Linked DNA regions of Rhinolophus ferrumequinum. The protein of the gene in region 2 interacts with the protein of the main gene of each other region in a pairwise test. Links are inferred from orthologs where the notes say so. Each region holds a gene or a part of one and is shown on either strand. Other genes may lie near its edges. The genes, in order: FAM200C and METTL21A.

Evidence for each region.
Region 1: the proteins of METTL21A (region 2) and FAM200C interact in binary tests that used the Homo sapiens proteins (3 or more experiments, as listed by UniProt). The two-hybrid records come from large-scale screens. The link is inferred for Rhinolophus ferrumequinum from reciprocal best matches to the Homo sapiens genes METTL21A and FAM200C.

The regions. Positions count from the first base shown.
Region 1 is NC_046307.1:29,704,908-29,721,136, forward strand, and holds FAM200C (protein ZBED8), read right to left. Parts: upstream 7,171-16,229; 5' UTR 6,764-7,170; intron 3,658-6,763; 5' UTR 3,610-3,657; coding exon 1,825-3,609; 3' UTR 1,629-1,824; downstream 1-1,628. Other genes in the region: pre-mRNA-splicing factor SLU7, read right to left, coding at 9,993-10,172, 10,834-10,950, 11,062-11,133, 11,286-11,390, 12,591-12,752, 13,581-13,720, 13,862-13,929, 14,108-14,205 and 3 more.
Region 2 is NC_046291.1:25,020,638-25,036,712, reverse strand, and holds the start of METTL21A (protein N-lysine methyltransferase METTL21A), read right to left. Parts: upstream 5,949-16,075; 5' UTR 5,330-5,948; intron 5,289-5,329; exon of another isoform or gene 5,043-5,288; intron 5,027-5,042; exon of another isoform or gene 4,932-5,026; intron 4,663-4,931; exon of another isoform or gene 4,572-4,662; intron 4,131-4,571; 5' UTR 4,099-4,130; coding exon 3,952-4,098; intron 2,437-3,951; coding exon 2,325-2,436; intron 1-2,324. UniProt on the Homo sapiens protein: Protein-lysine methyltransferase that selectively trimethylates residues in heat shock protein 70 (HSP70) family members. Contributes to the in vivo trimethylation of Lys residues in HSPA1 and HSPA8.

The DNA.
Region 1 (16,229 bases), on a different chromosome or scaffold from region 2:
TTGATGGATGGTGATAAGGTCAGTTTTGTGTAGAAAATATAAATTTCAGTTTGCAATATTCAAGAGGTATCTAAATTTGGTAGTCAGATGCCATTCAACTTCAGGTTTTTTTCTTTTCAATTTTTCACTATTATAAAATGCTGTGATCACCCACCTTATAAATAACTTTGTGGACATCCCTGGTTCTTTTCATGTGGTAAATTACTAGAGGGAAAAATCCTTAATCAAAGGGCTATGAATATCAATAGAGGAATTAAAATTAGTACCATAATAATAAAAAATTGGTAGTAGGAGATAGATGTTTTATAAATTCAAGTCTTACCTATTAACTACTGTGTTTCCCCAAAAATAAGACCTAGCTGGACAATTCAGCTCTAATGCATGTTTTTGGAGCAAAAATTAATATAAGACCCAGTATTATATTATATTATATTATAGTATAGTATATAAGACCTGGTCTTATGTTATAGTAAAATAAGACTGGGTCTTATATAATGTAAGACTGGGTCTTATGTTAATTTTTTTGCTCCAAAAGACAATTAGAGCTGATTATCCGGCTAGATCTTATTTTCAGGGAAATGGGGTAGAAGTCAATATATAACTTCTAAAGCTAATAAAACAAAGCTGGCATATGTGTTTGGTATAAATATGCTACTTAAATATATGGGTGGAACCACAAAAAGTTAAAGCAGAAATGGTTAAGGTAATGGGGCAGGAAGAGGACTGCGGCTTTTCATTATAGGGCTCATTTCTCCCCCTGAGACTTAAGCATACAGTACTTTGATAAAACATTAAAGTTTTGAAATAAAAATGTAAATTTATTTCAATTTAAAAATATTTTGCCAAATTATCATCCAGAAAGAATACATTAATTTAAATTCCCATGGGAAGCTTTTCTGATGGCCCTTAATTACTACTGTGACTTCATGTCAATTTATTATTTATATTCCATATTAGAAAAATACACATAGTATCAGATGTAAAACAAGAGAGGAAACTGGGGTAAAGAAAAAATAAGTGTAGGAGAAATAAGATGAGGCCAGAGGACCAGCAACTTCACCAGAACCATCTGGAAAGCTGGTTAAGAATGAGGATCCTTGATCTTACCGCAAACCTGCTACATCAGAATCTCTCGGGTAAGGCTCTGGGATCTCCTTTTTAGCAGCCTTTGTGACTTGGGAGTTGTGATGTAATTTAAAAGAAGACAAGGAGTGACTAATAGGTTATTAGGATATTTATTGTCATGGTACTTAGAGCATGGTATCTAGAAGAATGGACATTGTGAGACTAACTCCAAAGAATACATTTAAAAATAAATCTGATATAAACTAGCATCATCCCTTCTCCCACTAGAACATTTCATAATCCTCTTCTGATTTCATTAACCTACCCATAACAACACTCACAGAAATGGGAAGATTCAGTCTGTCATTTCGTCTTTTGACTTATACTCTTAACATGAAGATCCACGTTCTGGGAGGTCTTCTCTTTTTTTCTTGGCTCCATTCCTAGCCTACCGCACCATTTACCTGCATATTCTAGTGCCTGGGTGTCTTTTTGATGTATCACATCAACAGGTTAAACAGATACTTAGAAGAATCCTATGTACTAACTAGGCAGTGGTACACAATCTGTTCTGCTGCTTGTGCTCTTAAAATATATTTTCACATGATTCATGAGAAAATTAAAAGTTAAAGATGCTAAATTTTTGAAACATAGGATTTAGTATACCATAAATATAAAAGGAAAGAGATAGAATAGCTTAGTTTTACAATGGAAGGAATTGAGACTATTAAAAATTATACATTACAAAAGTGTATCAGCTTACAGTGACTTCTGCTGTAGCTGTAGTTTTTGTTCAATGATGTCTGAGAAACGAGGAACTTTTTTTGAAATAGCCACACGGATGTCATCACTCACATTAAAGCAGCTTCTGGACTTTGTTTTAAAATGTAAAAGTGATGAAAATCCCAATTCACAAAGGTATGTTGTTGCAAATGGTATAAGGATTTCCAGAGCTGTCTTTGCCAGGTTTGGAAACACTGTGAATTGGACACACCAGAAATCCTCAAGTTTCATTGTCTCAAACTCCATTAAAATTTGGCCACTAGCTCGTAATTCAGCAAGATCATTTTTCATTAAATAACCATCATCAACAAAATCCAGATTAAAAAGAAATGGATCCAGTATCCATTTACTTGCCTCATCAAGATCTCCAACGGAAAAATAGCCGTGGAAGAAGTTGCTCAGCTGTTGCAAATGCAGTGTTATTTCAGCTGCAATATTTTCTGCTTCATTATCGGAAACAATTATTTCTTCAAGAAAAGGAAAGTTGGTAAAATTTCTTTTCTCAATTCGCTTTAGCCAAAATGGAAACTTCCTAACAAAAGCAGATAACTTCTCTCTAGCGGACACGGTGTTCATCCCAGTCCTTTGCATAGATGCGCTAAGTTCATTTAGGTGTTTGAATAAGTCTGCAAGGTACGCTAGGTGAATTTTAAACTCTTTATTTTCAAAGCCATCAACTAAATTACTGCTTTGGTGGTGAAGAAACTGATTTATTTCTTCGTACATTTCAAAAACATGAGTAAGTATTTGGCCCCGGGAAAGCCATCTCATTTCAGTATGGAAAAGGAGGACACTATACTCTATTCCGATTTCTTCAAAAAAAGCCTGAAACAGGCGATGATTTGGAGCTCGCCCTTTGATGAAATTTATTACCCTGATGACAGTAAACAGAGCATCCCTTAGCTCTGTAGGCAATGTCTTTGTGACAAGTTCGTGAGGGTTCAACAAACAATGTGTGATCACAATATGTGGTACCTCTTTTTTCACACAAGCAACAAATTCTGAATTTTCTCCCAGCATAGAAGAGGCACCATCGGTACAAACAGAGCCACATACATCTAGTGCTATCTGATGCTTCAGAAAGAAGTCTCTGAAGAGATTGAACACATCTTTTCCTTTTGTTGTTGGCTGCAATGGTTCACAGAATAGGAATTCTTCTATGATCTCTCTTTCTTTTATGTATCGCACAAATGCCATGAGCTGACTGCAGTCACCCATGTCAGTTGTCTCAGCAAGCTGAATACCCACTTGAAGAGGACTGGCTCTGATATCTTCTAGAATTTGCTGTAAGATATCCTTGCTCATTTCATCAATTCTAGAATGGATCACGTCATCTGATAAGGGTACCTGCTGGAGTTTCTTTTGTGCATCTGGTCCCAAAACTATCTGTGCTATTTCCAATGCACAAGGTTTTACTAATTTTTCAGCTATCGTATGAGGATTCTTCTCTTTGGCACATAAATATGCAAATTGATACGATGCTTGTAATAAGGCATCCTCTTGAGATGCAACTCCAAATGCTTTCAAGGTGTCACTCTGATCAGATGGTGTTGGCATATGCTTCAGGCTATTGAGGTCATGCCCACCTATACCACCGTGCTGTCTGTTAAAATGGTCAGACAGTTTTGAGGGTCTGAGGTCAGCATTTGAAAATATCGAGTTACACAATACACATTGTGGGCGCTGAGTTCCATCAACCTCTGTTGTACAGGTGAACCAGTAACGAACATAGTCATCATCCCATTTGCGTTTCTTCGACATGGCACCCCAAAATTCTCAGCAGTATTCCAGAGATGCCGCAGAATTTTGCTTTGGGAGTAAAATATAACCCACACATTAAAAATCAGTGGCTAACCAAATTAAAACAAAGCCACATCACATGCCATCCTGTCATCTGTGTTCATGTCAAGAAATATCCTGTAAGATGCCTGTTCAAAGAAAGCCATGCCAGCATGACAGTCTAACTTAAAGCCAGCAACTCACAGCTAATGCCCTGGAATACATGACTTGCCAGCAAGTTACATATAGAAGATTTGGGCTTATGCAAGTTGTGAATACCCGTAAATCCTCTACTGGTGAATTACAGTTATGGCTTAATTTGTTTTCAAAGATGTATGTTCCAAACAGATCTGGTACATTTTGTATCCCCAGAAAGGGCATCTCAGTACCACTCCCTCCTTCCATCCTGTGCCAATGCTTCCATTCTGTGCCAATGTATGCACACCCCTTGTTATGAAGCACTGAACAGAAAAAGAAATACTTCACTACATACTCTAAGGAAGGGCAGATAGTTTGATAGGGTGGCCAGTTCTTTTTAATAGTTAAGAATTAAATAGATCTGTAAAACGATTTGATCCTAGAGTGGCTTTGTTTGACTCCAACTTAAGCAGGGAATTTCAAACAGGTTTGATTAAGGCACTCTTGACATAGAAGTAGGACACAAATTTGGCTCAGAGCTTTCTGCCACTATCAGTCCATGATCATACTGTCCATATAGAAAAGGAAAAACCAGTTGCTCAGGAGAAACTACTATTCTTGTTACTGAGATTTCAGGAAATTTTCTCTCATAAAGGACACCTTAATTACAACAGAAATTTCATGATGCTTTTTCATATAGCTACCCCTCAGTAAAAGCAGTCACGGGAGAAGCCGAAACAACAAAATGAAAATTAAGCAGTGTTCCTAAGATTTGGCTTAATCCAAGGACTGGATGTATAATAGAAGGCAGTGGTTTTTTACTTGAGTAAATGGAGGAATCATCTAAGTCTCTTGCTAAAATGCATATTCCTGGGCCCTACCCCCAGAGATTCTGATTCCCTAGCTTTGGAGCAGGGGCCCAGAAGCTGTATTCTAAATAAGCATTTTAGATAATTCTTATGACTGGTAACTAGAACAGTAATCTTTAACAAGAGATGCCCATCACAATCACCAGGTACCCCTTTGAAAGCATACATGCCCCTGTACTACTGTAGAACTAATAATTTATCGCCAGTAGGACAAAAGAATCAGAAATAAAGTTGTCCAGGTGATTCTGATACACATCGTAGTAGATAGTCAGATTGAGAGGAATGACAACATATCCTTCAGGTCAATTCCTATCTTGCAGATATTCTAGGTTGCTAATAATCTAAATGCTTTAATAGGCATTTAAGTTTTCTGAGTTGATGACAACCTCCTAGGAAAGTTGAGGGGCCTCAAAAGAAAGCTATGCCTTTCCTCTTTTTCTTCCTCCTTAGCAATGAGCAACGGTATAATCCTAAAGTAGGCTCAAATATACCTGAGAAAACAATGCTATCTCCCAGATAAATAAATAAGTGATCTCCAAAGTTTCCAAAGTTCTAATGACACAGAATGTGGTTGAAATAACAGGGACACATTAAAATCCAAATGCCCACTTTGGCCAGGAAAAAAAAAAATCACAGTAAATCACAGTAAGTAAGCCAAGAATATTTACTTAAAGCACTAGATTTCTAGTGGCTCTGCCAAGATTAACAAACTGTAAAATGTACTTCTATGTAACTAGTCCGTTGACCTGCCATGTGGTTGTTTGTTATGAGCCAGGTGAAAATTAGAAGATGTCTGCCAGTCAAGAAAGATGATTTAAAGTTTAAAAGTTGAGCTTAAGCCTTCTTTTGTCAAATGATGAGACGAGAGGACCAGCAGTGTTTGGAACCTCTTCTAATTGATAACAATAAAATTATGACATCAACATAAAAAATGCTTATCTTTCTTATTCTGTTATGTATATTTACCATGTATGTTTTGGGGAACAGAGCTTTTTCCTTGAGTCTCATTACAAATTATAGGATCAGTTAAGAGTCCATTCCTACCCACCCCAACTATGCTACTTAAATATATTTTGACTGAAGATGTACCTGTTCTCAACCAAATCATTTTTAGAAAAATTCATTTATAGCATCCTTCTCCATCTCCCTCAGAGGATGAATAGGCAGCAAGAATTTTCAAGGTCTTCAAAGATGAATTTATCTACCAAGAGGCTTTCTTGTATTTTAGAACCTCACAATTTTCACTTTATGCTTTGTGGTATTTAGTGATCACAATATTAAAAAATATGTAAACATTAAAAAAGCATCATCACAGTAAGATATCATTGTTAATTTAAACAGGTATGATAATGGTATGGTTGTGTTTTTTTTTTAAGTCCTCATTTATTAGAAATACAGACTTAACTATTTACAAGTGAAATGATAAAATGTTGGGATTTCCTTTGAAATACTGTATACTTCACACACGCAAATACACACAAAGTGGGGTGGAGATAGAGGAAATAAGACTGGCTTTGAGATGTTAACTGTTGAAGATGAATGATGGGTACTTATCACTACACCATTCTATTTCTGTATGCTGGACATTTCCCCCTAATAAACAGTAAAATGAGCAAACAAAAAGCATTACCTGAAGATTGGTATAATTGTTATTTTTCAGAATAATTTTTTGAGAGATATCTTAAGATGCAGAATAAAAGATCTAACAAAGTAAAATGTTTTTGCAAATTTATGAAGTATAAGGGCAGATATGAAAAAGTATCACGATTGAGAGAAAAAAGGTTAGAGGTGAACATTTACATCACAAATATTTGGGGAATGCTAACACATAATTTTAGCAGTGACAACACCAAAGTGCAGTTGCAAAACCTAAAACTCCAACCAAACACAATTCCGCTTCTACCTAGCCACCGTTTAGGCCAGTCCACGGCAGGTGCAGGTGTCTGGAGAGGCAGAGGATTTAATCATTACATTTTACAGTTAAAAGTAACAGTCAGGAGAAAGGGACGGGAATGCAGTAGCTGAGTAAATGCTCCAGAGGCAAAAGCCTGGGATCCTGGCTTTGTCACTTCCAGACTGGGACCTTTCCAAGCCTCAATTCCTCAAATGGGGATGACAATAGTACCTACCTTATAGGGTTGTTGGGAGGTTTAATTATGAGCATGCATGTAAAGAACACGCAGCTCGCAACTGGTAGGAAGGACCTGTTGGTGTATTATTAAGGACGTTTAGGAGGCGGCCCGGGCGAGCAAAGGTCGCCGGCGGCGAGGAAAGACTCCACTCCGTCTCCAGCCTCCCGTCTCCGAGCAACGGCGCAGGCCCAAAGGATGCTCGGGCTTCTTTTAGGCGCCCGTTTCAGGCTCCAGTTCACTCTCCGCTCAGGTTGGGGCTTAGCTTTTGGACGCCGGAACCCGTCTAGGCAGTGGTTACTCAAGTGCGACCCCGGAGCAGGAACCTGCGGAGAGTGGTGACACAGAAGCGCCCGCAGCCACCTCCACCCCAGCCCCGCCGGGCTTCCATCCGGGTTCTCCCAGTGGCTTCCCGCCCGCAGACTGGGCGAGGCGTCTCCCCGCACGCAGGCGCATTAGCTGAGGGGGGGGGGGGGGGCGGCTGGCTTGAGAAGGGAGCATGCGTGCTGGCCCTCTGCATTTTTAGATTGTGTACGTGGAGTTGAAATTTTTTTGTTGTGTCTGCCAGAAAGAATGGTGGAAAAATAGAATCTAAGGAATAGAAAGCATTGTAAAGTCTACATAGTTCTTAAAAGCACTGGAAATAAGATTTTATATTGTGTCAGGCTTTAAGATTGAAGGTTGTAAAGCTATAATAATTTACCATTTTCTATGTGGTCTCAGCGAGGAAATGGAAGATGATTGCACTCGCAACTTAAACACTGAGGCAAATGGTACAGTCTGTAAGGTACAGTGGAAGATGTGCTTCCAGGGCTTGTGTCCTGTTGCCTATTTAGGTCACCCTCTCCCATAAATTAGATCAAGTGGATGAATTTCCTGAGAATCATCATCCATCTTAAAGATTTTTATTTAAAAAAATTTTTTTTAACAGGATCTTATAGTAATAAACCCAGAGTAGAGAGATTTGAGAGATAAACCCCAAAGGAGAAACTAGAAAATATTGTTGAAAAAAACAAGCCCAAATATAGCCCTCTTTCCTATTTGGGGGGTATTTTCTTCCAAAATAGACACTTAAGGAAATGCTATTTTATTCATTTTTGAATAGTTGTTCTTGTCAGAATCATTCCACAAGACCGGGAGAGGAGGAAGTGCTCAAGAATGTGAGACAGGTGAATCATTTTCTGGTGTTGAAAGGTGACCTTGGTAAAGATTGAGGGTCTGCTTAAGGTTTCTGTCAATGGAAGAAATTGCAGAAGATCAGCCTTCCTGGCCCAGGAACCAGGGCCTTAAATACTAGAGAAAGGAGTAGGCTTTAAAGTCAGAGATACTTGGCTTTGTGTCCTGGCCCCAACACTTTGAACTGTTAGGCCTTGAGCAAAGTACTTGGGCTCATTATGCCCACATGCTTATTATAAAATAGGGTTATCATCCATTACTCACCCCATGGAGTTCTTTTGAGGAGGTAACATATGAAAATTACAGCACATAGTTCCAGCACTCAAAAGGCAGCTATTATTATTGGTAAGTAAAATCAAAGCACACTGTCTGGAGTAATGTTCTGGGTACTACCTTTCTTCCAAATTGAAACAGAAATAAGATGTGATTTCAGACATTACAGAATTCTTCCTAAAATCAGAATAAATTAGGTTTTACAGAAGAGGAGCAGAGGCCCAGAAAGGATAGGTGACACATTTTTTGAGTTAAAAGACCCTGAAAATTTCTGATTCAAACTCACACAAGCTAATCCTAGCTCCATTTTCTGTCAAATATTTGAAATAATGCTACAAACCACGCATAGTTTTCTCAATTATATATCTTTATTAACAAAAGATAAATATACAAAACAAACACCAATTGCAGACATTATGTAGAATCATCCTATGTTAAAGTAGGAATATGAAAACATAAACTTTTAACAATCTTCAAGTGGGTGAGATTTACATTGCTGTTTTAATTTCATACCAGTCTGAATCTAGATACCATGTATACCCATAGTACTTGACAATCTGATTCAGTTACTCTCCCACCAGAACTATTTTTGAGATGCTAACTTAATGTAGCATTCTAACGGTTTTTGGTAGCTCAGAAAATTCAATGAGCTATCAACAATGTACTCATGTCAGAGCTTTTTAACTGGTTGTTTACACAGATTCCGCTCTCACTGTCAGTGTTATTTTCACACTGTTCTTAGAAGAGGCCTGAGGATCATGGCAGTCTCAGTTCCTGGTAGCCCTAACAAGCTATCCTTATAATTCTTCGAAGAAACCTTCAACTCCACGTTTTGCTTTTTGCACATTACATAAAGTGACACCTGCTGGCTACAAAGATTAGGTACAAGGGATATTCTATAAGCTTTTAAAATCAAATTTAATATTTGCAATTATTATAGAAAGGCAATCAGAACTGAAACAAAAAATAGTATCACTAATCATATCCTCTAGAATAAAGGATTTGTGTCTAAAGGCTCATGACCAGAATGGTAAAAGACGATGTGCTGATAGGTAAACACTGATTCATGAATGACAAAAGTTATTTTTCCACTCAAAGACTAACAATTTAGTTCTGGGTGTAAAATATGAGGACATATTTTACAAATCAAAAGTTTATAAATAAGTGAAAAACAAAATTACCACCACGCAAGACAGTTATTCATGTGTTCTACAAATTTCCTTTCAGATTGAATTTTTTTAGCTGCAGACCAGGAAAACCTTAAAAGGCAAAAACGAATGACAATAAAATAACTACACATAGTTACTACTAATTAGAAAAAATTGAAGCCCTGGTTTTGAGAAAGAGTAGTTAATCTCCCTTTAAAGTATGTGCAAACACTAGATAAAGGGACATAGAAATTGAAGAAATATAGTTTGAGATTTAATTGTTGAGTCAGAGTGCGGGGGGGAGGGAGATAAGGTGGGAGGGTGGGGGGGAGAAAGACAGAGGGGGGGAGGGAGGGAGAGAAGGGGGGGGAGAGAGAATGCGCAAGCAAGTCAGGGCCTCTTTCCCTATCACGAACATAAAATTGGAAATAAAATCTTATTCTGTATTTAATGTAGCTCCTCTTTTTCTTCTGTTTCTTCAGTATAGAAAGGAATGAATTTACTATGAGACTTCTGGAAGCTTTATTAAAATCTGCTTGCGGATACTGATTTTTCCACCTACAATCAGCAAGAAGCTAAAAAGAGTATCACATCAGCTGTTTTTATCTTGGGTGACCGTCTGTGACTAGTTACTACTGTCCAAGGAAAGAGGCCATTGGGTCATCGGGCCTCTGACGTTTCATTCTATAGGCCTCCATTTCCTCCTCAGTGGGTTCCCGAGTTTCATATATGCTATTGTAAGGCCGCTTCCTCTCATCAATCTGCAAGAGCTCCTTGACATGAAGAAGGCGGGCCTCCTCCGCATTCAGTGCCTATAGAGAGAGGAAAAACAGGAGAACCGTGGCTCTCCATCAGTTCGCTTTTGTTCCAAAGGGGCAGAATATCAAAACACTCTACTGAATAGGCACTGCCACATCAAAATTCTAGACTGCCTAAAAGAGCTTGGGAGTCAGCCCTTACACCTGTTAAGCGGCAATTACTATTTGGCTCATATGATTATTTTTACAGAGCACAAAACATTCTATTTCAATGTTAAAGCACTTTTGCTTAATTGCAAAAATTGAATGACGGTCATTTTACCGACAGAAGCCCACAAGTGACGCTTCTGGTAGAGACCGGAATTCTGACTTTTCCTAAGGACTTGCTGAAACTTACAGACTATAGAGCTAGAAGGCAATTCTTTCTGGACAACATAATTTCAATAACTCTGAAATTACAGCTTTACAAAGCACATTTCTTCTGTGCATTCATGATATTTGTCAAATATTCTACGAAGCAGGCAATACTGAGACACATAAAATCTCCATTCGCATTCTAGATGTGATACAAGGTGACCTGAGCAAATGACCCAGAATGGGGCCTTGTTTCCTCATTTTTAAAATGAGCTGGGAGCTAGAACTAGATAATTTCCTAAGGTCCGCCACCAATAAAGAATACTGTTGTCACTTTCACTATTTAGACTTCACAAAGTACCTTTTTCAGTTTTTCATGTTTCTTTTCTTCGTCATCACTTTCTGAACTGCTCTTTCTATGCTTCTTCTTCTTCTTCTTCTTTTTCTTTTTATCCTCTTTTAGTTTCTCCTGATGTATCTGACAGGGAGGATTGAAACATAGTGTTATTGTGAAAACAATGCTCTAGTGCAAGTTTTAAAGTCCTTCCTCTGGGATTTAAAAATTCAGGACAAATGATTATAGACTTACCTCCATGAGGGTCTGAGGTTTTTTCACAGATTCTTCTCCAGTTATTTCATTTACAGTACATTCCTCTGAATTCTGTAGGAAAACATGTAACTGGACTTGAGTATCATAGTTACCAACCATCTAAGAAAATGTTAAAATTTGAAACATGAGAAAGCATGTTTCATACAGATTTTGAGTTAAGAGCTGTGTTTAATAGGTCTAAGAGCTAGAAAACAATTACTTACAACAATCTCCTTCCCAGCTTCTCCAGTACAATAGGAATACTTGATAAAAGAGTGACAGCATTTGTATCCCCATCGGCCTTCTTTCCAGTAAGATCCCCAGATATGCTGGAGAGAGAGAGAGATTACTTAAAATGCAACCTGAACTAGGGCTAATTGTAGGGCTAGCTAATAGGGAAAGGCCGGCCAGACCTCAAGTATAAGAAGCAGGCATTACAGTTACAGTGATCTTATATTCTATTTCTAACATGTATAAAATAATTTAGGATACGTGTCTTCTCTTGAAAAATTAAGGACTAGGAAATTCTGTGCTCACATTCCCACTTGGCAAGACAGGGTTTTTGTTCTACAGTTTATACAATTTTCCTGGATCACTTCACTCATGTATGTTTACTGCCCTGGCTCCTATAGGTAGTTATGCTTTTAACCCCTAACTTAGAGAGACAACTGGTTATTTCAATAATACAGTAAGTGACAATTATATGCTTTATGATGTGATACAATATGAAGTACTCTGCATCACCTTTGAAGTGCTGTCAAAATATTTAACAAATTAACAAAATATTTAACAATTAAGCCTTTAGATCCTTTGGATCTGAATTCCTGTTTATCAAAATACAAGGGAAAGAAGAATAAGTTATATGATAGCTCTAGAAACCAGTCAACTACAGAATATGAGCCAGTTTATAAGATAACTGGCCTGATCTATTAAATAGTCACTGTCATGAAAATAGGAGAGCTACACTCTAGATAAAAGAGACATAACAACCAAATAACAATCAAAATACACTTTGACTCAAAAACAAAAAACAAAACTCCAAATAGCTATTTAAAGGCATTTGGGGATGTATTTTGGAAAATGAGATTAAGGACTAGAGATTAGATGCTGCTAAGGAGTTACTGTCAATTTCCTGAAGTGCGATAAACGCAATGTAGGTACAAAAGAGAATATCCTTCATTTTAGGAAATACACGATATAGTGCTTATTGGTGAAACGTCCTATCTGTAATTTCCAAATGTTTCAATCAAAAAAATAATGTAAAAAGTATGTATACACAGAAATATGTATTTCAGCATGCATACATGCACACATATCTAGATAAAGCATATACGGCAACACGTAAAAAATTTCTAAATCTAGTGTTGGGTATGTGGGTGAACATTCTTTTACATTTTTTCTATTTTTGGAAACATTTCACAAAACAAACTTAAAAGGTAAGAGAAAAGAAAAGCACAGCCATGACTCAATAATGACGTTATAACATGAAACTGTAATATAGAGCAAAATGGCTCTGATGCAGCACATACCGTGTGGTTGTGGATCTTCACGTCTTCCTCATACTTGGAGCAGGCGACCGCCCGCTCCTGCCCTTTAATGACAGTCCCATGTCTGGAGTACTCCACATAATCTTCTGTCTGAGCTAGAAGCAATTCGGCTGGAGGGGCATCCAAATGTTCCTGGCCCCCATACTATTATAAAAAGACAGTGAACGTTATTAAATCCACTTTACAACAAAGATGTGCACTCAAACCTCTACTGAAGGATTTATTTCCAATCAAAAAGATTAAAGAAATATTCTTTATGGACCTTGTTATGTAAGACACAGTGAAAAAAAAAATGCCACCAAATAAAAGATGTCTCAGTTGCCACTAATTTGTTGCAGGTGGCCATACGTTCCTCTTATCCTTGTACTTGTGCCCATTTGCCACATGACTTTGCTGCTCCTCCCTTCGAGAGTGAGTCTGCGTCTCCATTCCTTGAATCTGGGGTTGTCCATGTTACTTGTGCTGGCCTATGGGAAACTGGCAAGTGTGACCCCAGCAAAGGACCGGAAAGCACTTGCGGGCCTTTTTCCTGGGGCATACTTTTTGTTACTAGTCTCTGGTATCCCGAGAATGCCATGGAAAGAAGCTGGGCGAGCCTACTAGAGGATGAGTGCCCAGCATGGGAAGCGATGAGCTGTTCCAGAGGACGCCCTCGTAGGACAATCAGCCTAGTAACTGTTAGACCAGAGTCAGGACATCTTAGATCCTCCAGCCTCAGATAAGCAGGCCCAGATCAGGAGACCCAATTGACAAATAGAATAATGAGTAAAAAGAAATGTTTCGCAAGTTATTAAGTTTTGGGGTGGTTTGTTTTGCTGCAAAAGCTTAGAAATACAGCTATATTATTACTGTTTGCCCATGGATTAAGTCAATAAGAGGAAAGGACTATTCCCAAAGGACTAAAAGGGACTCTGTGTATGTTGTATTTCAACTGTAAGGAATGTTCTTCTTTAGCATTTTGGTCAAAATTACCTTTTCCAAGATGCTTTCTTTCTGCTGTTCCTTGAAGTCTTCCTTTTTGACTTTGAAGGACTTATACAATAGCTCTAGTTTTGTAGGATCGGCCTGCAGATGTACTTCAGATCCCTTGTCGTAGGCTTCCCATGCAAACACTGTGGCAATGAAAAACATCTTCATGAGCAGTCAGCTACATTTACTGCTCTAGTTTTTAAACAATGCCCCCAAATTTCTTTTTCCCCCCAAATTTCTTATGAGTTGATATAAAATGCCTTGACAATACAACAAACACTTACACTGCGTCTGAGCCATCGAAATGGTATCACCTGTGTATCTAACAAAGTTATCTCCCGCGTAGCTCACTCTGTAAATACAAATTGAAAAAAGAATTGTTTCAGAGGTTGATTTTTTTTTAAGGATAGTTAATTCTTCTCTGACCGAGCCATAGATGATGTGTATTTTAATTCAGATTCAGTTTTACAATTAAAAGCTGCCCTCACCCCCGCCAATCTTGAAATCTGTACATTTAACTCAATACTTACTCATCTGGATTCTTTCCTGCATTGGCATAGGGATTTTCTCTCATCGCTCTCGTTTTGGGATCATAGTAAGCAGAATTTGGATCTAAATTCCTCAAATACTAGAACAGAAAGATGTTTAAGGACTGCATTAATGTTTACTTCCATCTAAAAAAGTTTCAGCAGACTAGGAGTTGACCATAATCAATTTAACGTGTGAATGCATCCTGGGACACAGATGAAGAGAAAAAAACCAGAAGGTACCTAATTTGGGAATGACTATGTTACCCACCTACTGCCCAGATACTAAACAACTAGGTGAAATTTAGGTTGGGAAGTATTTTTTGAACGTGTACGTTAAGTTGGCCAGGCTTACTTTTGCAATATCTTCTCGAATCCTGAGATTCCGAACAGTAATCCGTCTCTTAGAGTCAAAGTTCTGTCCAGGCATGTCAATATCATCTGCATACTTATCTTCATCCTCATCTTCACTATTGTGATCTTTTTCCTGAAAGAGGAAGAGGGGAAAAATGAGCAAGAAAAAAAGAACAGCATCTAGTTTTTCTTTTCCTTTCATTCCCCTTTAATCATACCCTCATTCACTTGTATTATTTAAAGCTATTATTATTATTTATTAATATAATTAGTAATAATAATAATATATTATTATCATATTAGCCATCAGAAGTTGAAAATTTCAATGTATACCCAGATAAGGCAAATATTTATTACCATCTGAGAATTTGGTTCCTCTTCTCCCCACTGGTGTTTTGGAGAATTCTGCATCATGACAGAAGGAAAAAAAAAAATTGTCATTTTATTCTACTACATCTACTGATTATTTAACACTTTAAAAACATAGTTAAGATAATATACCAAATCTAATTGAACAAATTCTCGTATTTCTCACTTATAATGAGCATATAAGTTCTGAATACAAGTATGTCATTGTTAAATAGTTAATTTTATTAGATGCCAGAAAATTTCTAGAGAATTTTTAGATATAGGATCATAATCACATAAAGGTAATAGAAAGATTAAATGACCAATGTACCCAATAAATATTCAATTTCATATATGTTCATTTTAGGCATACCATTTTCATTAACCCTCACTAGTTTTCTCAAGTCCAAAGATATACCAGAAAAAAAAAGATATAACAGAAGATACATAAAATGAATTCTTGTTTCAGTTTTTAGTTTTTGTTTACTAAGATTTGACATTTTAAAATAGATCATTCTATTACTTACAGCCTGTTCTACTAATTTTCCTGAGGCTAATTCTTCTTGGAGTTTCTGGGCTTTCAGTGTTCGTTTTGCCTAACAAAAAAAGAAACATTTGAGATTTATTAACAACATTCAAATAAACATTTAATTATTGTAGTGCATTTAAAATGACTAAGTTTGGGGCAGCTGGGTGGCTCAGTTGTTTAGAGCACGAGCTCTGAACAGGGTTGCCAGTTCGATTCCCACATGGGCCAGTGAGCTGCGCCCTCCACAACCCACGACTAGACTTTGATCGAAGACAATTAGATTGAAGACAACGAGCTGCTGCTGAGCTTCCGGAGGGGTGGCCGGATGGCTCGGTTGGTTAGAGCGCGTGCTCTCAACAACAAGGTTGCCGGTTCAATTCCCGCATGGGATGGTGGGCTGCACGCCCTGCAACTAAAGATTAAAGACTGAAAACCGCAACCGGACTTGGAACTGAGCTGCACCCTCCACAACTAGACTGAAGGACAATGACTTGGAGCTGATGGGCCCTGGAGAAACACACTGTTCCCCAATATTCCCCAATAAAAAATTAGGAAAAAAAAAAGACTAAATTTGTTTTCAGAAAAGGTCACTGGACAAGGTCATCTCTTTGCGGTTTCTTGTAGCTCTAGACCTATGGCTGTCTAAAAAACAAGGAGTTACAAACTCTTGTTTGAACCAGGCATTAATGGAAAATGAGTCAGACAGCACTGGTGAAAAACTGTAGAGAGCAAGCCCTGTGCAAAAGGGGCCGTTGCCACCTGACTCCAGATGACTGACGCTTGCCAGGCAGGCCCAGGATTACAATATATTTCACTGTTTAAGAAAAGATGAAATTCAGATTAAGTGGAATCCAATGATTTTTAAATGTTAACTTCCCTTTAGGAAAAAAAAAA
Region 2 (16,075 bases):
CCAGAAAGGGACAGGCCCTGGAGCTTCCAACAGTGCAATAGCTATGAAAACCAAAGAGGCTGAAGGATCAGGCAAAACAAGATTGCAGAGCCTTCCTAAGAAGCCTGGGATTTAGTCTTTAGGAAGTGGGGGGCAGGGGGGCCGAGATGTTTAAGTATGGGTAACCCATCACTTTTGCATTTCAGATGAGCCAATCTGACAGTTAGTAGGTGTTCCCTGAATTCAGGATGAAAAGCCTCGGGTTACAAAAAATGAAAATACTTGACATGAATAATGAGAATCTTTAGTGGGTTTTTTCCCCTCTTTTTAAAAGAGTGCTTTTAGGGCTATTGTTATAATAGTTACATGACTTTTATAACAGAAACATTTCTTTTCATGATTTTCTAGTGTGTTCCTCTCTTACTCCAGAACTATTTATCTCCTGTGTGGCAGGTGCTGTACTAGGGCCAAGGACACACAAAATGAAGCACAGTCCCTTTGCTCGGGAACCAGGAGAGACAGACACGGGAAACACCTGCCGATAATGAAATGTGACTGTGCTGGGACAGAGGTAGGGAGTATACCAAGTGCTGTGGGGAAAAGACGTAAGGCAGCAATTAATTTTGCTTTGGGGCAGGAAAGAACTCAAACAAGTAACGTGAAGTGGGGCCGGGAAGCACACATCTCCCTATGGCGAGAACACTGTCTGCTGTTCTAGGCCCTCCCAGAACCACCCGGGGCCTTTTGTGACAATGGCTAACCAGCCTATCGCTCTATGCTAGTGTTTGAAGAGCCTTATCTTGACTTCCGCAACCCCACAGATCCAGATTTCTAGAGCAGAAACAGAAATACTCGGAGAGGCAATCAACATTCACTGAGCCTTTACTTTGAGCCAGTCGATGAGCCAGCAGATTTCGACACACGATCTCATTTGATCCTCAGTGTGGAATGAATACAATTATTTCCTCAATTTATAGGGAAACTGAAGTTCAGAAGTTAAGCAACTTTTGCCCAAGGTCACACAGCTAGTAGGAATTAAAAGACGTGCGAAAACCAAGTATAACTCTAAACCTCTGCACTTGACCACACGAACCTGTTGCTGTTCCAGCCAAAGAAGTTGTACATGAAGCCCTAGTTCTCAGGAGTAAACAAAAGAAACCTCATTTCCCCTCCCAGTTAACCCCTCTCATAAGCAGAAGGAAGTTAGTGTCGTGGCAAGAAAATAACTTGGGCTGCTGTGTCTGACAAGGCTGGTTTGAGTCTTAAGCTTCTGATGATCAGGACTTCAGAGAGTGGCTCAATCTCCAGGATTTGAAAAATGGAAAAGAAAAAGAATACCGAACACACATGGGGACGCGATCAGACTAACCCGAGGGGAACAAAAGGCAGTGCAGCAGCAAAGGCCTTACCAGCGAACAAAGCGCTGTGGCTGTAGACAGACAGAAACCGAAATCGGTTTATATATCCTTTTATCCACCACCCCTGCCCATGTTCCCATCAAATTTTGGAAGGCAAATCTACACAGAGAAAGGAATACTGGAAAAGAAATAAGTTAGGGAAAGGGCAGAAATAAGTTAGGTGTTCGCATCATCATCGCTTGGGCCTTGCAGAAATACAGGCTCTCAGGCCCTGCCCACACCTTTGGAATCAGAAACTGCATTTTACTAAGAGCCCTAAGTGACAAGTGGTGAATATTATATGTGGAATCTTAGAAGCTGATCTGTCCTCTCATTGGCTAGTTCAAACTGCATGAGCTGGAAATTGTACAAAGGAGTCAATAAACAATAATCAAATAATAATGAGGCTTAAAAAATATGCTAGGCCAAAATAATGTCTCTATACTAAACAAAAAAAAATTGACAAATCTTGATATTAATCAACTTATAACTATATACTGTTAAAACAATTTTTTAATATGTCAGTACCAACTGTAGCAGGGCTGACCCTTCCTAGAAGAGAAAAACCAGCAGTTTCCTTAGCAATGAAGGAAAGAGACTGTCTGCTCTACCTACCTCACAGGGTTAAATCCGCAGAAAGGACCTAAAGTATAAAAAAAAAAAACTATGTATGTGAATAAGATAATTCTCTTTGAACTTCAAAGTAGCCTTCAGATCATATTATCCGCACCTTAAAATTGAAAGGGGCAAAGCAATCTCCCATGAGAAGTATAAGTAACAGGATAAGAAAGAGAGAAGAAATTAGCCTTACTAGAGTTAGCCCGTACCTCATAATAACTACAGGGGAAAGAAAAACAATACAGTAATGGGTTTGACATCAAGAAAACAGCAAATGTACCTCTCGATGAGTCCCACTCACAAAGGAGTGAATGAATGTGTCACACTCACCCAGCAGGGCCGCCACTATGCCCACCAGCCCTGTGCCAGCACCCAGCTCCACGGCAGAGCGGCCCCTGAGCTCCACAGCTCCCATCTCCAAGTACGTGCAAAGAACGACAGCCTGAGTCAAAACACAGTGTAATTACGATTAAGGTGCTTTAGGAGCTGAAGGGGTTTAAGCTGGTAGGAAGTCATCACACAACCCTTTCCCACTTTGAATCAACGTTCAATTCCCAGTTTAACAACACTCCCAGGAACTCAGTTGTTGCTGGGAGGTAACGTCCTAGAGCAAGCACAGACACGGCATCCCAGCATCCCACAGAACAGCTGCCCCAGGCCACACTAATGCCCTGACGGGAACAGCAGTGGCCAGTGACACTGCCCACATGAGACAGGGTCCTGCTGAATCTGGGAAATTTAATTTCTTACTGTCACAGCACCGCTCCACTCGAGGCTTACAAAACTCCTCTGGCAGAACTGACATGAACAGTCTTGGATTTTGCTTATGAGAATGTCCAGTTCCTGAACCAAGCCCAAGTCAGCAAGGCCACAACTTCCCCCCGAGGGAACAAGCAGAGCAACACCCGAGGCTCCTGGAGCTGTGTTCCTCCCTCCTGCATCGCTGACGGTCATCACCCCACAGGGGCCCTCACCGTATATTATCCGGCATCAGAAGGTAAGTTTTAGCCAACGTTTGGGATACGTGTGAGTTAGCATTTGCATACAAATCTATTAAAGCATTGTATACTGTTAACATAATTTTTAAATACAGTTTTTCATGGCCACATACTATTAGTATAACTAACAATTCCTCTTCTTGGTGGACATTTTGGAGGTTCACCCATTCCTCACCATTATGCATCTTTATTTCTTGGTCTGGGAATAGTTTTCATGTGGTATTACTAGAAGTGATATTACTGGGTGAGAATATATTGATTTTTATTCCTCAATGGTTCTCTAACTTCTAAGACAATGCAGACTGTAAAATTGTATCTACACCAAGCATTTTCCCAACGTTCATTGAGCTGCCACTGAATCCCAGTTTGGTACTAGATTCTGATGGCAAGTCACTGTCACAAGAATGCAGGGAGAAGAAAAAGTGAAAAAGCAATTATAGTATCATTTTGTGACCATTACAACTATGAAAACTTAAAGAAAACACATGATCTTCATTTTGGGTTCTGTCATTTTACAATATTCTTTTTGCAATATTTTAAAAATTAAACTTAAAAATTAACTTAATGAGTGTACAAAGCGGTTAAGGTTTCCCGTCCTCCCTCTCACCTGCTGGGGAAATTACTGGCAAGTCACTTAATTTCCCTTAGCTTTCCTCTACTCACCCTTAAAATGCAACCTATGTGGGGGGAGTTGGGGCAGGGAAGTGATTCTAATGGGTGGAAGTTTTTTTTGGAGGGGGTAGGGTGAAGACAATGTTTTAAAATTGAGAGTGGTAATGGTTGCACCACTCTGAATTTACTTTTAAAAAAGCACTTACCTGTATTTATAATATACACTTGAGATAAGTGGTGTATGGTATATGAATTATATCTCAATAAAGCTATTTTATTTTTTTAAATAAAGATCAGCCTTGTAATCAATTGTAGATGTTTTCAGAGGCCCCCCAGGGCTTACTTACCGCGTCCCAAACCACGGCTGCGACTCCCAGCTGCCTCCAGTCCTGTTGGATCTGGATCGTGTGGTTTGCAAAGGCGAAGGTGGCAAGAGGCTTGTGGAATCGCTGCAACCCCACTACCGCGGTCTCGTCATAGGGCACCAGGGCCATTTCGACTGCGGTAGCTCTCTGTTCCCTTAAACCTGTTGGGCAAAAGATGCCTGCGTGACGCTCTGGCTAGAAAATGCATTAACGATTAAGTGGCCCCAAATGCTTTCTAAGTTCGTTTAACAAGTTCAAAAGAAGAGGTGGGGGGAAACGTTTGTCTAATTCATTCTCCATGGCCCTTCCTCCGAGTTTTCTGAGAAGTGAAATTTGGCTCTGAATTCATGCTAAAGGATGTCTTTGGGCAAAAGCACCCAGAACGGTACACACTTCGCTGTTAGAAGTCCGTGAATTCAGAGCCGCGCTAAGGGTGAGCGAGGCGGCGCTGCCAGCCCTGGGCCCGGGGGAAAGGAGAGCTTTCTAAACCGCCCAGGCCTGCAGCTGGAACGCGCTGCAGTCCGCAGGGTACTTTTTGTTTGGGTCTTGCCTCCACCCCTCCAAAGCGGTGCGTTCGCCAAGTGACAGGCATGGACCCGAACCTGCACTTAGACTGAGTGTTAACGGCTCGATTGTCCTTCCTTTTGACGCCAGCTGGATATATACGGTCGACGCAGTTCCATCTCCTAGAGGCTGGAAGTGAAAAGACACTCATGGATTCCGAGTCGCTCGCAGAGAGAGCGGGAGCGCGGGTCCGGGACGGACTCGGGCATCCACCGCTGGGAGGCCTCTCCAGAGTACCCCACACGTGTCTCCGTCTGCCCCTCTAAAGGGTCGATAGGTACGCGCTTCCTTCCCGCGGGTCCCAGAGCTCTAGGAACCGGCGGGGCTGGGAATGGGAGAAGGGGGAGGGGTCCACAGGGTCCTTGGGGCCCCCCTAACCGCGCAAGACGCCCACCCACCCCAGGAGTGACGGGATCTGTCCTGCGCAGGGCAGAGGGTGCACCCAGGCCGCCCCCGAAGCGGAGCCTGCGACACACTGAGGCCCGAGGCGCGGCCCCACCGCTACTTACGGCTCGGGAGGAGGCCCCGGCGTGGCGCGCGCTGCGCCTTCCCCGCCCAGAGGCCGGCTGCGGAAACGACCAGCCTTAAAGGGCCGGGGGGACAGGGGACCGGCCGGGCCCGCGCGGGGCGGTGCCGACCGGAGGAGGACGTGTGCGCCCCCGACGGCCAGCGTTTTCGGTTTCCGCCACCACCCTGCCCCCGGGACAGGTGTTCCGCGAGCGCTGGGGGCGCGGCGCTGACGCACGTGCTGGGAGGGGCCGAGAGGGGGGACGTTGCGTGGGGTATCGACCCTTATCCACGTGGATCCACAAGGCATTCTGGCTGCCACATCAGCTTCCCCTGCCGCCGAGAGCGGCGTTGGCTGGAGATCGAGGTGCGGAGCAGCGCGCAGGTGCGCAGAGGGATTAGGGTGCTCTGGCGACCGGTAAAGGGAAACCACCAACCTGGTACTGGCTGTGCCCTGGTACTGGTGCCGCTTATGTATGCGCTGGTTCTCGCGCGCACGCGTTTTGTTTTTTGTACTTGTGGCCTTGCTTATTTTTAATTTTAAAGGTGGCAGTTAGCAGGTGTAGGCGAAAGCTGGCTGCGAAGAATACGTGGTCACCCATTCGTCCTCGCATCACCAAAGCGAGGTCAGAAGCGGTGTAATTGTCCGCTTGGTGGCAATACAGTGGGAAAGTGACAAAGCCCTTAACTAGAGCGCAAACGTGGAGCCAGCACGTGGCGCCCGGGCCTGGATTGTAAAACTTGGGGGCGGGGCCCGGGGCGTGAGGTCGGCCCCGACCCTGGCCCTGGCGGTTGCTGCAGACCCAAGGCTTAGTCTTCCTCCTCTTGGGGCTGACGGTTAGCGCCCCTGCCCTGGGCACACCCATTCTTGCCGTGAAAGCTGTTGACAGCGTGGCACCCAGGCCGCGTGCCCTTGGAAAGCGTGCGGCTGCAGTGAGCACTCAAGAGTTAGACCACCCGGAGGGCAGCATCCTTCTTTTCTTTTTTTGCTTTGACCCTGACCTCCACCCCCTTACCCCACCCTGCCGCTGCTCTCTCTCGGTGGATCTCAGCCCCGGCTGCACGTTAGAATGAACGCGAGCGCTTTTGAACTCCTGGTACCCTGCTACGGGAAAGTCTTAGTTGGTGTGCGTTGGGGCCCAGCATTGGTGTTTTAGACCTTCCCTGGTGATTCCCGCCAGCGGTCACCAGTGGGAAGCTCCGGCCAGGCCTGAAGCCCCCTCTCTCCTTGCCTCTCCCATCCCGCAGGGGACGTGCCAGGCCTCTGTCTCCAACTGAAGGCTGAGGCCTGGGGGCACAAAGGTGACTGGAAGTGAACTTTGAAAGTCGCCAGTGAAGGTCTTTTCCTGTTTTGTTTTGTTTTGTTTTGTTTTTGCTTTGCTCAGTTTATTTTTCTTTTTATGTGATTGATAGAGTATTTTTGAGAGCAGCTTTAATTTCACAAATTGGAGAGAAGGTACAGAGATTTCTCAGACACTCCCTGGCCACACACATGCACAGCCTCCCCCATTATCAACGTCACTCACCAGAGTAGTACATTTGTTACAGTTGATGAAACTACACTGATATGTCATAATCACCCAAAGACCGTAGTTTACTTAGTTTACGTCGTAGTTGTACATTTTGAGTTTGGACAAATGTGTAATGACGTATCCACCATTATGTTATGCAAAACAGTTTCACTGCCCTAAAAATCCTCTGTGCTCTGCCTATTCATTTCTCTCTCTTCCCTAAACCCTAGCAACCACTGATCTTTTTACTTTTTCCATAGTTTTGCCTTTTCCAGAATGTCATATAACTGGAATCATACAGTTTGTAGCCTTTTCAGACTGGCTTCTTTTCCTTAGGAGTATGCATTTAAGGTTTCATAGTTTGTTAGCTCATTTCTTTTTAGTACTGAGTAACATACCATTGTGTGGATGTACCACAGTTTATCCATTTACCTACTAAAGAACATTTGGTTGCTTCCCAGTTTTGGCAATTATGAATAAAGCTCTTATAAACATCCATGTGCAGGCTTTTGTGTGACCGTAAGTTTTCAACACCTTTGAGTAGATACTAAGGAGTGTGATTGCTGGATCATGTGATAGGAGTATTTTTAGTTTTGTAAGAAACAGCCAAACTGCCTTCCAAAGTGTCTGTACCATTTTGCATCCCCACCAGTAATGAACGAGAGTTTCTGTTGCTCTGCATCCTCACCAGCAGTTGCTGTTGCAGTGTTTTGGATTTTGGCCACTTTAACAGGCCTGTTGTGGTATCTCATTGTTGTTTTAATGTGCATTTCCCTAGTGACATACGATGTGGAGCATTTTTTCTCCCCGCGTTATTGAGATGTAATTCATATTGAATATTGCCTTAGTTTAAGGTGAACAACATAATGATTTGATATGTGTATATACCGCAAAATGATCGCCACTGTGAGTTAACATTCATCACCTCACATAGTTTGTTTCCTTGTGATGAGAAGTTTTAAAATCTGTTCTCTTAGCAAATGTCAAATATCCAATCCAGCATTGTTAACTAGTGTCACCACTCTATACATTATATCCCCAGAACTTATAACTGGAAGTTTGTACCTTTTGATTGCCTGCACTCATTGCCCTCACCTGCCACCCTCCACCTCTGGCAACTACAGATCTGTGCTCTGTTTCTATGTGTTTGGGTGTGTTTTTGTTTTTGTTTTAGATTCCTCATTTCAGTGAAATCGTACCATATTTGTCTTTCTCTGTCTGACTTACTTTACTTAGTGTGGTGCCCTGAAGGTCATCCATGTTTTCACAAAGGGTAGGATCTCCTTTTTTATAGCTGAATAATATTCGCACGTGTGTGTGTGTCGCACACATAACATTTTCTTCATCCATTCATCTGTTAATGGAACTTACGTTGTTTTCATGTCTTGGCTATTGCGAATAACACTGCAATGAACATGGGGTTGCATATATCTCTTCAAGATAGTGATTTCATTTCCTTTGGATAGGTACCCAGAATGGGATTTCTGGGTCTCATTTTTTAAGGTACCTCCATACTGTTGTACCAATTTACATTCCCACGAATAGTACACAAAGATTTCCTTTTCTCCACATCCTTGGCAACACTTGTGATTGCTCATCTTTTTGATAATAGCCATTCTAACAGGTGTGAGGTGATATCTCATTGTGGTTTTGATTTGCATTTCCCTGATGATTAGTGATGTTGAGCACCTCTTCAGGTACCTGTGTTGTGAACCTGTCAAGCACCATTTCATGTACTGAATGGTTTGGACCATTTAAAAATCTGATTGTTTTCTTATTGTTGAATTTTAAGAGTTCTTTTTTATTTTGGGTAGCAGTCTTTATCAGATGTGTATTTTGGAAACATTTTCTCCCAGTCTGTGGCTTGTTTTTTGTCTATTCTTTCATCAGTGCCACATATAGCTTTATAATTTTATAGTAAGTTACTGTAACTTTATATTAAGTCTGAACTCAGGTAGTGTCAGTCCTCCAACTTTATTCTTCTCATTCAATTTTTTTTTTTTTTTGGTGGTGGTGGTCTTCTCTTCCTTTCCTTTTTTCTCTTCTAGTGTCTCCTTACTCTCTCAACCTTCTCTGCCTCTCTGTGCTGTTTCTCCCGCTCAGCTTTCCTTCTCTAAAACCCTCTCCTCTCCTTATTTTCTCTTTCCCTCTCATTGTCCCTTTCCTTTGGGGAGCCATTCTGGGGCATAAGAAAAAATATGTGCTTTGGAGCCAAAGAAACTGTGAAAATTTAAATTCTGTCTCTGACACTTTAATTGGGATGACCTTGAATAATCAGTAAATCTTCCTAGATCCCAGGCCCCTCATCCATGAAGCCTGGCATAGAGATTCTGCACCCCTTTCCCCGGTCCTCCTCCCCATTCTCCATTTTTTTCTGCTGAAATCATCCATGGGACTTTACAAAACAAAACCTACCCAACTTCTCCAGCACCCCATGCACATAGGACATTTGCCTTACAGTTTATCTAGAAAGTTGTCATTTACTTTCTGTCAGCCATAAGAGACAACAATGTTTTTTAGCCCTACCAATGTTCTAATTGGTACCAATTGGCTCAGGAAGCACCAAAAAGAATATTTAGAAACGTATGCATCTTGTATAGCAGTGTAGACATTTAAGTGGAGCTCTGGTTTTTTATTTGTTTACTTGGTTGGTTTTTGTTCTTTGTCTTTTTTAACTTCTCTTTATTTTTAAGTGTGCTTTTCCAGGACCCATCAGCTCCAAGTCAAGTAGTTGTTCCAGTCTCGTTGTGGAAGGTGCAGCTCACAGTGGCCCATGTGGGGATCGAACTGGCAACCTTGTTGTTAAGAGCACTGAGCTCTAACCATCTGAACTAACTGGCCACCCACCCCCAGTGGAGCTCTGTTTTTATCAAAATAAACCAAAACAGCCAGTGGTTCACTGTGAATACTGGAAAATAAGTTTTTAATCCTCGATTGAGTTGGGTATGTGATAGCTTATATTATTTTAAATACCCAGTCTAACTTCTGCAGGCCTGCCCTGTGTCCCTTCCTGAGGAAGGGATGTCTCCCTGCCCTGTTGAAGTCAGGTGTGGCCATGTGACTTTCTCTGGCCAATGGAATGTGAGGTGTCTTGCATAGCTCACCTGAGGTGTCATTGCTCCTTTCTCCTGCCCATGACCTGCATGTCCCAGGTTGGGGTGCTCCCCAACCCCGGGTCACCAGCTGGAGCAGAGCCACTGCTGACCTGTGAAATGTGTGAAACATCAGAGAAAAATAAACCTCCGTTGAAGTAACTATTGAGATCTGGGGGTCGTTACAGAATGATTCAGCAGAAGCTGACAGAACACAGGTGTGAAAGACGGAAATCTCAAATATTAGGTAGTCGTTTTTAGGATGGACGGCTTAGTTTAGCTTCTCAGTGAAGGGGCTCCTTCTCTGGAGCTCTGCCTAGCTCAGGACTCCTTATTCGCCCTACGCCTGGACCCCCCGGTGTCAGCATCAGCCTAAGACTACTGACCACTTTTATCCAACTGTGATTCTAAGACTTGAAGACAATTCTTCTGGCAGTTTTGCTGAGCATGTGAAAAAGGGTAGATTCACTCTCTGCATTATCTGTAATTCCAAAGTGTAGAGCAATCGTAATATACCGCTCTACATGTGCTTTTTCCTTTAACAAGGGGAACTGGGCTTCTTTTTCTGGCCCTCTCCTGGACCCAGACAACTAAAAACAGGACAGGTGTGGTCATCTCCTCCAGCCCAGTGGGTTCCCTGCGCACCTGCAGGCTGTGGGAGTCTCTGTGCCCACTCTGCCCCTTGCGGGGAGCAGCATTTAGGGTGGAGATAGAATACACAGAAGCACTCCTGAAGCCTTTGGCTGATAGCTTTTTATTTTTAGCCCCGTGACTGAAAGTGCCTTTCCCCAATCATATGACACCTCACCAGAGCATAATGGTAGAAGGGTGCTTATTCTGTCCCACCGTTTTCTGAAACTAGTCCGTGTATGAGGTCACAGGAGAAGCAGCCACCAGGCTGGGTAAATAATTTTCTCTGCAGAATGAGTGGCTATGTTTATCTGTTGTTATTATTATCTTTATTAGTCCAGCATCCATTTCCCATTTGCTGGTAGCCGTTCTCTTCTGCTAAGGGTCAGGAGCCCCGCTTCTGGAGCCCAAGAGGTTAGGTCGTATCCCAGTTCTGCAGCTTACTAGCTGTGTGTCCTTGTGGGTAAGATGCATTCACCTGTGCCTCAATTTGTCCATCTATAAAAAGGGGATATTCTGCTGATTGCATTAGTAAACAAAAAAGATAGTAAAGTGAGGTTAAAATGAGTTAACGTATCTAAAGTGCTTAAAACAGCGCCTAGCGCACAGTAAGGATCATGTAGCATATGATATGTTTGGGGTGGGATGGACCTTCGCTCTGGCTCCAGGACCAGGCACATGTCCCAGGCCTGGCCAATGAGTATTTCCTTCTATCTGGCCATGGGTGGTTCAGAAGCGGGCATATGACCAAAGCTGGGCTTACCCACCACCCATCCTGAGACTTGCTGGGACTCTCAGAGAACCAGAGAATTGGGGATGGATAGAAGCTAGAGTTCCTATCGGTCATCTGGTCCCAAGTGGGCTGAACCAGTAGAGAATGGAGCCCATGCAGGTGCTAGTGGAGAGAGAGGCTGCCTCCTACGGTGCCATGTGACCACCTGGACACAGCTGGCTGGGAATTTTTAGTTATTTGAGCCATTAAATTCCCTAATTAGCTTAAGCCAGTTTGCGCTGCTCTTATTGTCCCCTGCAGAAGAAACGCAATTCTGATTCATTCAGTCTGGGCTTAAACAAAGGAGATATAAAGTCACACGTATGGGGAGCCATCGTCCTTGGAGAAGCCAGCCTGCAGAGGACAGCCGGGGGAGGGGGGCCAGGCTTCCTGATGGCTCGCTTGTCCTGAGCCTTTCCTGGCTGCACCTGGGCTCTCGGGGCCTGGGGGATACCAGTGTAACCTGATAATAAATTTTCCGTTCTTGCTTAAGCCGGCTTGAGTGCCTGACACATGCAACCAGAATCCCAATGGATAGTATATTTCTGTTGTTTGTTTTTCGGAAGTAATGTAGACAAAACACACATATTCTGTAAGGTCCTCAAATACAATTGGGTGATGGCTAACTTGCCAAACAACAAATATGATCCTAATAGAGGAATGTGTGTTTGAAAGACAAGGTTCCTCTCCACACTCACTTTCAGCAGACGACCAGACTTAGCACAGACCTTGATCAATGTTGGCGGAATGAAAGCCTGATCCCTGGCTGCATCTCTCCTGTCCATTCCAGGATGAGAAGGTAGCCCCTCCCTGTCCCCCAGCACTACTGCCCTGGGAGTTCTGTCCCCTCCCCCATCCCGAGGAGGCTCGCTCCCCAAGTTCTTCCATCAGCGGCTTCTCCTTTTTCTCTTTAAACAAGTCCAAGGAGTCGGGATTCGAAGAGCGATGCAGGCTTGCTGCCTCTGGGTCCTCACTGCTCGGTCCTCTGCCTGCAGTCGGCCTCCTGCTCTCTGGCCCTCCTGAGATGCTCTCAGAGATACTTGTGGCCAATGCCAGGTCTTGCCTCTGTCCCGGACACCACACTTCACTATGGCGTTGAACTGAGAGGCCCTTCTGTCCGGGGGCCTTCCTTCCTGGGATGTCGGGGCATTTGTCTCTGGTCTCGCCCCCCACTCACCACCTCCACTCTGCCTCTACGAGGAGGCTCCTCAGGCTGCTGCAGCTTCTCTGCAAGCTGGCCTTTTCTTCCTACACTTTCACCTATTGAGCAGCTTTACTGTAACTTCAGGTTCAAAGTCTTCACAAGGACACTTCCACACAAGTCCCGCGCTCCGCTCAGCAGCCCCAGCAGTGCAGTGGAAGAGTAGGGAGCTGGAGATGGCAAGATTGGAACTCCCGTCCCGGTTCTGCTGCTCCCTAATCGTGCGACCTCGGGCACGTCACTACAACTCCTTGAACTTTGCTGTCCTTACCTGTCAGTGGGGTTGGAACCGAGCTACCAGTTTCACTCTTTGCTGTGTCCTTTCCTAGCCGTATGACCTTGACCGGTGAATCAGCATTTCTGGGCCTCATTTTCCTCATCTGCAAAGTGGGGATCTTACCATGACCCTGCCGGCTCGATGTCTGAAGGAAGGTGGTGACCACACACTCAGTGCTGAAACCAGTGCCTGGCATGCAGGAAACACATTTACTGAAAATTTACTGTTACTTATTTCCGCACTGGTGTCTGTTGCCCCAACTTTTTCCTAGGATTTGTAACCTTCCTGCCTTTCAGTGCCCACACTTGTGAATCTGTTCAGTCACTGCTCCTGTAATCCCAGGTGTCTGTGGTGACCAGAGTGTCTGCAAGGGACTGGCCCTGGCGGTCGGTGCGCACCCCGAGAAGAAGCCCTTTACTCAGTCTTCTCCCTGACCTTCTCCGCAACCTGAGCTGCTTGCTGTGGACAGTCTGCCTCAGACCTGAGGACGCTGAGAAGGGCGCCCGTCATTTCTGTGCTTCGGTTCGTTGGTCTGAACTTGAAGACACATAGTGAGTAGCGGGGTCTTACTATTCCTCCCGAATCCTTCTTTCCTCGTCTGAGGTAAGCCCTGTGTCCCCCGACTGGCCACCTGTCTCCTGTCCACCCCCAGCGTCACACACCGGACATCATGCTGGTGGTTAGAACACCACTGCTCGGCTGCTCCTCAGCGCGCACCCCTGCAGCCACCTCCTGGGTCAGCACTTGGCCTTTGCCAGGTGATCCCTCTGCCCCGCCCCCAAAAGCCCACCGCCGTCACTTCTCCAGCACGTGATCTTTAGAGCTGTGCGTTTCACGGGCTCCCCGTGGCCGACAAGTTTTTTGCATCAAATTCAAAGAATTAATTATTTTTTCTTTATACCCTGCCTTGTTTCAGAAAATATTTAAGGCAGTATCCCATTATTGGTTTTTTGTTTGTTTGTTTGTTTGTTTGTTTAAGATTCTCCATGATCTCACTACAAAACAGACCTTCAAACTAGTTTTAGAACCTGGACCAAATAATTAGCTCAGTTTGTTTAGGTTGTTCCTTTGTTGGATGGTGATCTCTCTAGGGGACGTCTACTCTGTGCCTGATATTGTTTAGCCATCGCTTAGCCACTGCTAAGCCATGGTCTGGGCCCTACTCTCAGGATCTTAGGTTCACCTGGGGCTCCAGTCCAGAAAATCAGTGCCTTAGTTTCCTAGGGCTGCCATAACAAAGAACCACAAATTGGGTGTCTTATAATAAAAAACAAATGTATTCTCATTCTGGAGGCTAGGAGTCTAAAATCAAGACGTAGGCAGGGTCATGCTCCCTCCAGAGATTCTAGGGAATAATGCTTCCTTGCCTCTTCCAGCTTGCGATAGCCATTGGCATTCCTTGACTTGTGCCAACATAATCCTAAATTCTGCCTCCATCTTCATGTGGCAGCCTTCTTCCTGTGTGTCCGTGTCTCCAAACCCCCCACTCTTTGTTAAGAATACTAATCATTGGACTTAGGGTCCATCCTAATCTGGTGTGACCTTTTTTTACTTGATGACATCTGTAAAGACCCTATTTCTAACTAAGGTCACTGTCACGGGTACCAGGGGTTAGGACTTCAACACATCTTTTGAAGGGACACAATTCAACCCATAGTAGTCAGCAACCAAAGCAGCAAGGACAAATGAAGCCAAAATTCGAATGAGAATACCTTTTAAAAAGAAACTAGGATTTGCTTAAAATGACAATTTTAAAGTAGAAACTGGTATAGGACAGCAGTTGAGAACACACGCCACTATCACAGCATATGAGCTTAACTCCTGCAAAGATCGATTTCTTCCCTTTTGTGAAAACAGAACAATAGTAATGCTTAGGTCAGTGGACGTCTGGGAGGTGGTGGTGGTAAATGAGCTAAAACATGCCCATTACCATGCATAACACGGGCACGTAGTAGTAGTTTCTTAGTAAGACTTACCTGTTATTAACTCAGTAGCAATAGTTGACCCTACTGGATTACTGTTTTTATCATTTAGAATCTTAGACTTTAAAAAAGCTAGACTGCTTTAAGTAAATTCATCATTATTAAGCCTTAAATCAGGCATAATTGTGCACTTGGGCAGACCTCATCTGTCATTTTGTAAATGGGCTACCTCGTATCCTTCCAGCTAAGGTTCTGTTAACGTAGCAAGGATTCTAAATATCAGGATATAGCAACATTGTATCCCCTTGCCCTCCACTTTCTGCCCACATGGCTTACCCTGTAAGTGAAGGTAAAATGGATTATAAGTATCAAGTTATTGTGACATTGTTTAGCCACTGCAGCGAACTGGAAGAGAGTGGCTACTTGATTTTATTTAAACTGAAATTTACCATAATGACAGCAGCATGAGACAACACACCAAGCCATCCGCCAAGTTCAAGAGCTATTTGTTTATACAGTATGCAATTAAGATGAGTTTTGTTACGAAGGAATTTTACTCACAGTGATTTTTCATTAATGTGGGCCGATGTAAATTGATTAGACTACTAATCTCCAAAAAGTAGACGCCTTCGCTGATCAAATGCTGTCGTGATAGCAAATTAGACACATTTTCCTATTGTTCTAGAGAAAAAATGGGAAAGGGACAGAAAATTCAGGAAATTTCTTTAAATGTACTGTTAATATTCCTTTGTTTGTTTTAGAATGCTCTATTCTAATCCAAGCTACTGTGGTTGATGTTTTCAATTAATCTTTTATTCAATGTTGTAATATAGATTAGTATTATGGTTGTGCTATAACCTCATTTTAAAGATAATGAAATTGAGACATAGGCATTTTTAAAAGACAGCTTTCACATGGAGACATCTAATTGCCATAAACTAGAGTTTAATCTGATCTCAGAAAACACATTGCCTTAAACTTCTAACCCAGCAATTCTCAAACTTTCTGATCTTGGGATCCTTAACACTTTTTAAAATTGTTGAGGATGCAGCCGCATCTACCGCATGGATGAACACCATTCTCAGCCATCAGACTGTGAACGTTCCAGAAGGCGCGGACATCACTCTGAAGGGACCACGGGTATTGGGAAGGCCCCAGAGGTACCCTGCAAGGGACGTCAGTCACATCCGTGCAGAACTCAGTCTCCTTGGAAAGAAGAAGAAGAGGCTCCGGGTGACAAATGGTGGGGAGATAGAAAGGAACTGGCTACTGTTCGCACCATCTGTAGTCACGGACAGAACATGATAAGGGTGTTACCGGGGCGTCCGTTACAAGATGAGGTCTGTGTGTGCTCACTTCCCCATCAACGTTCTTATTCAGGAGAATGGTTCTCTTGTCGAAATCCGAAATTTCTTGGGTGCAAAATATATCCACAGGGTTCAGATGAGGTCAGGTATTGCTTATTCAGTATCTCAAGCCCAGAAAGATGAGTTAATTCTTAACACTGAACTTGTATCAAATTCAGCTGCTATGAATCCAACAGCCACAACAAGGATAAAGTTAGAAACAAGGATATCAGAAAATTTGGGGACGGTATGTATGTGTCTGAAAAAGGAATAGTACAGCAGGC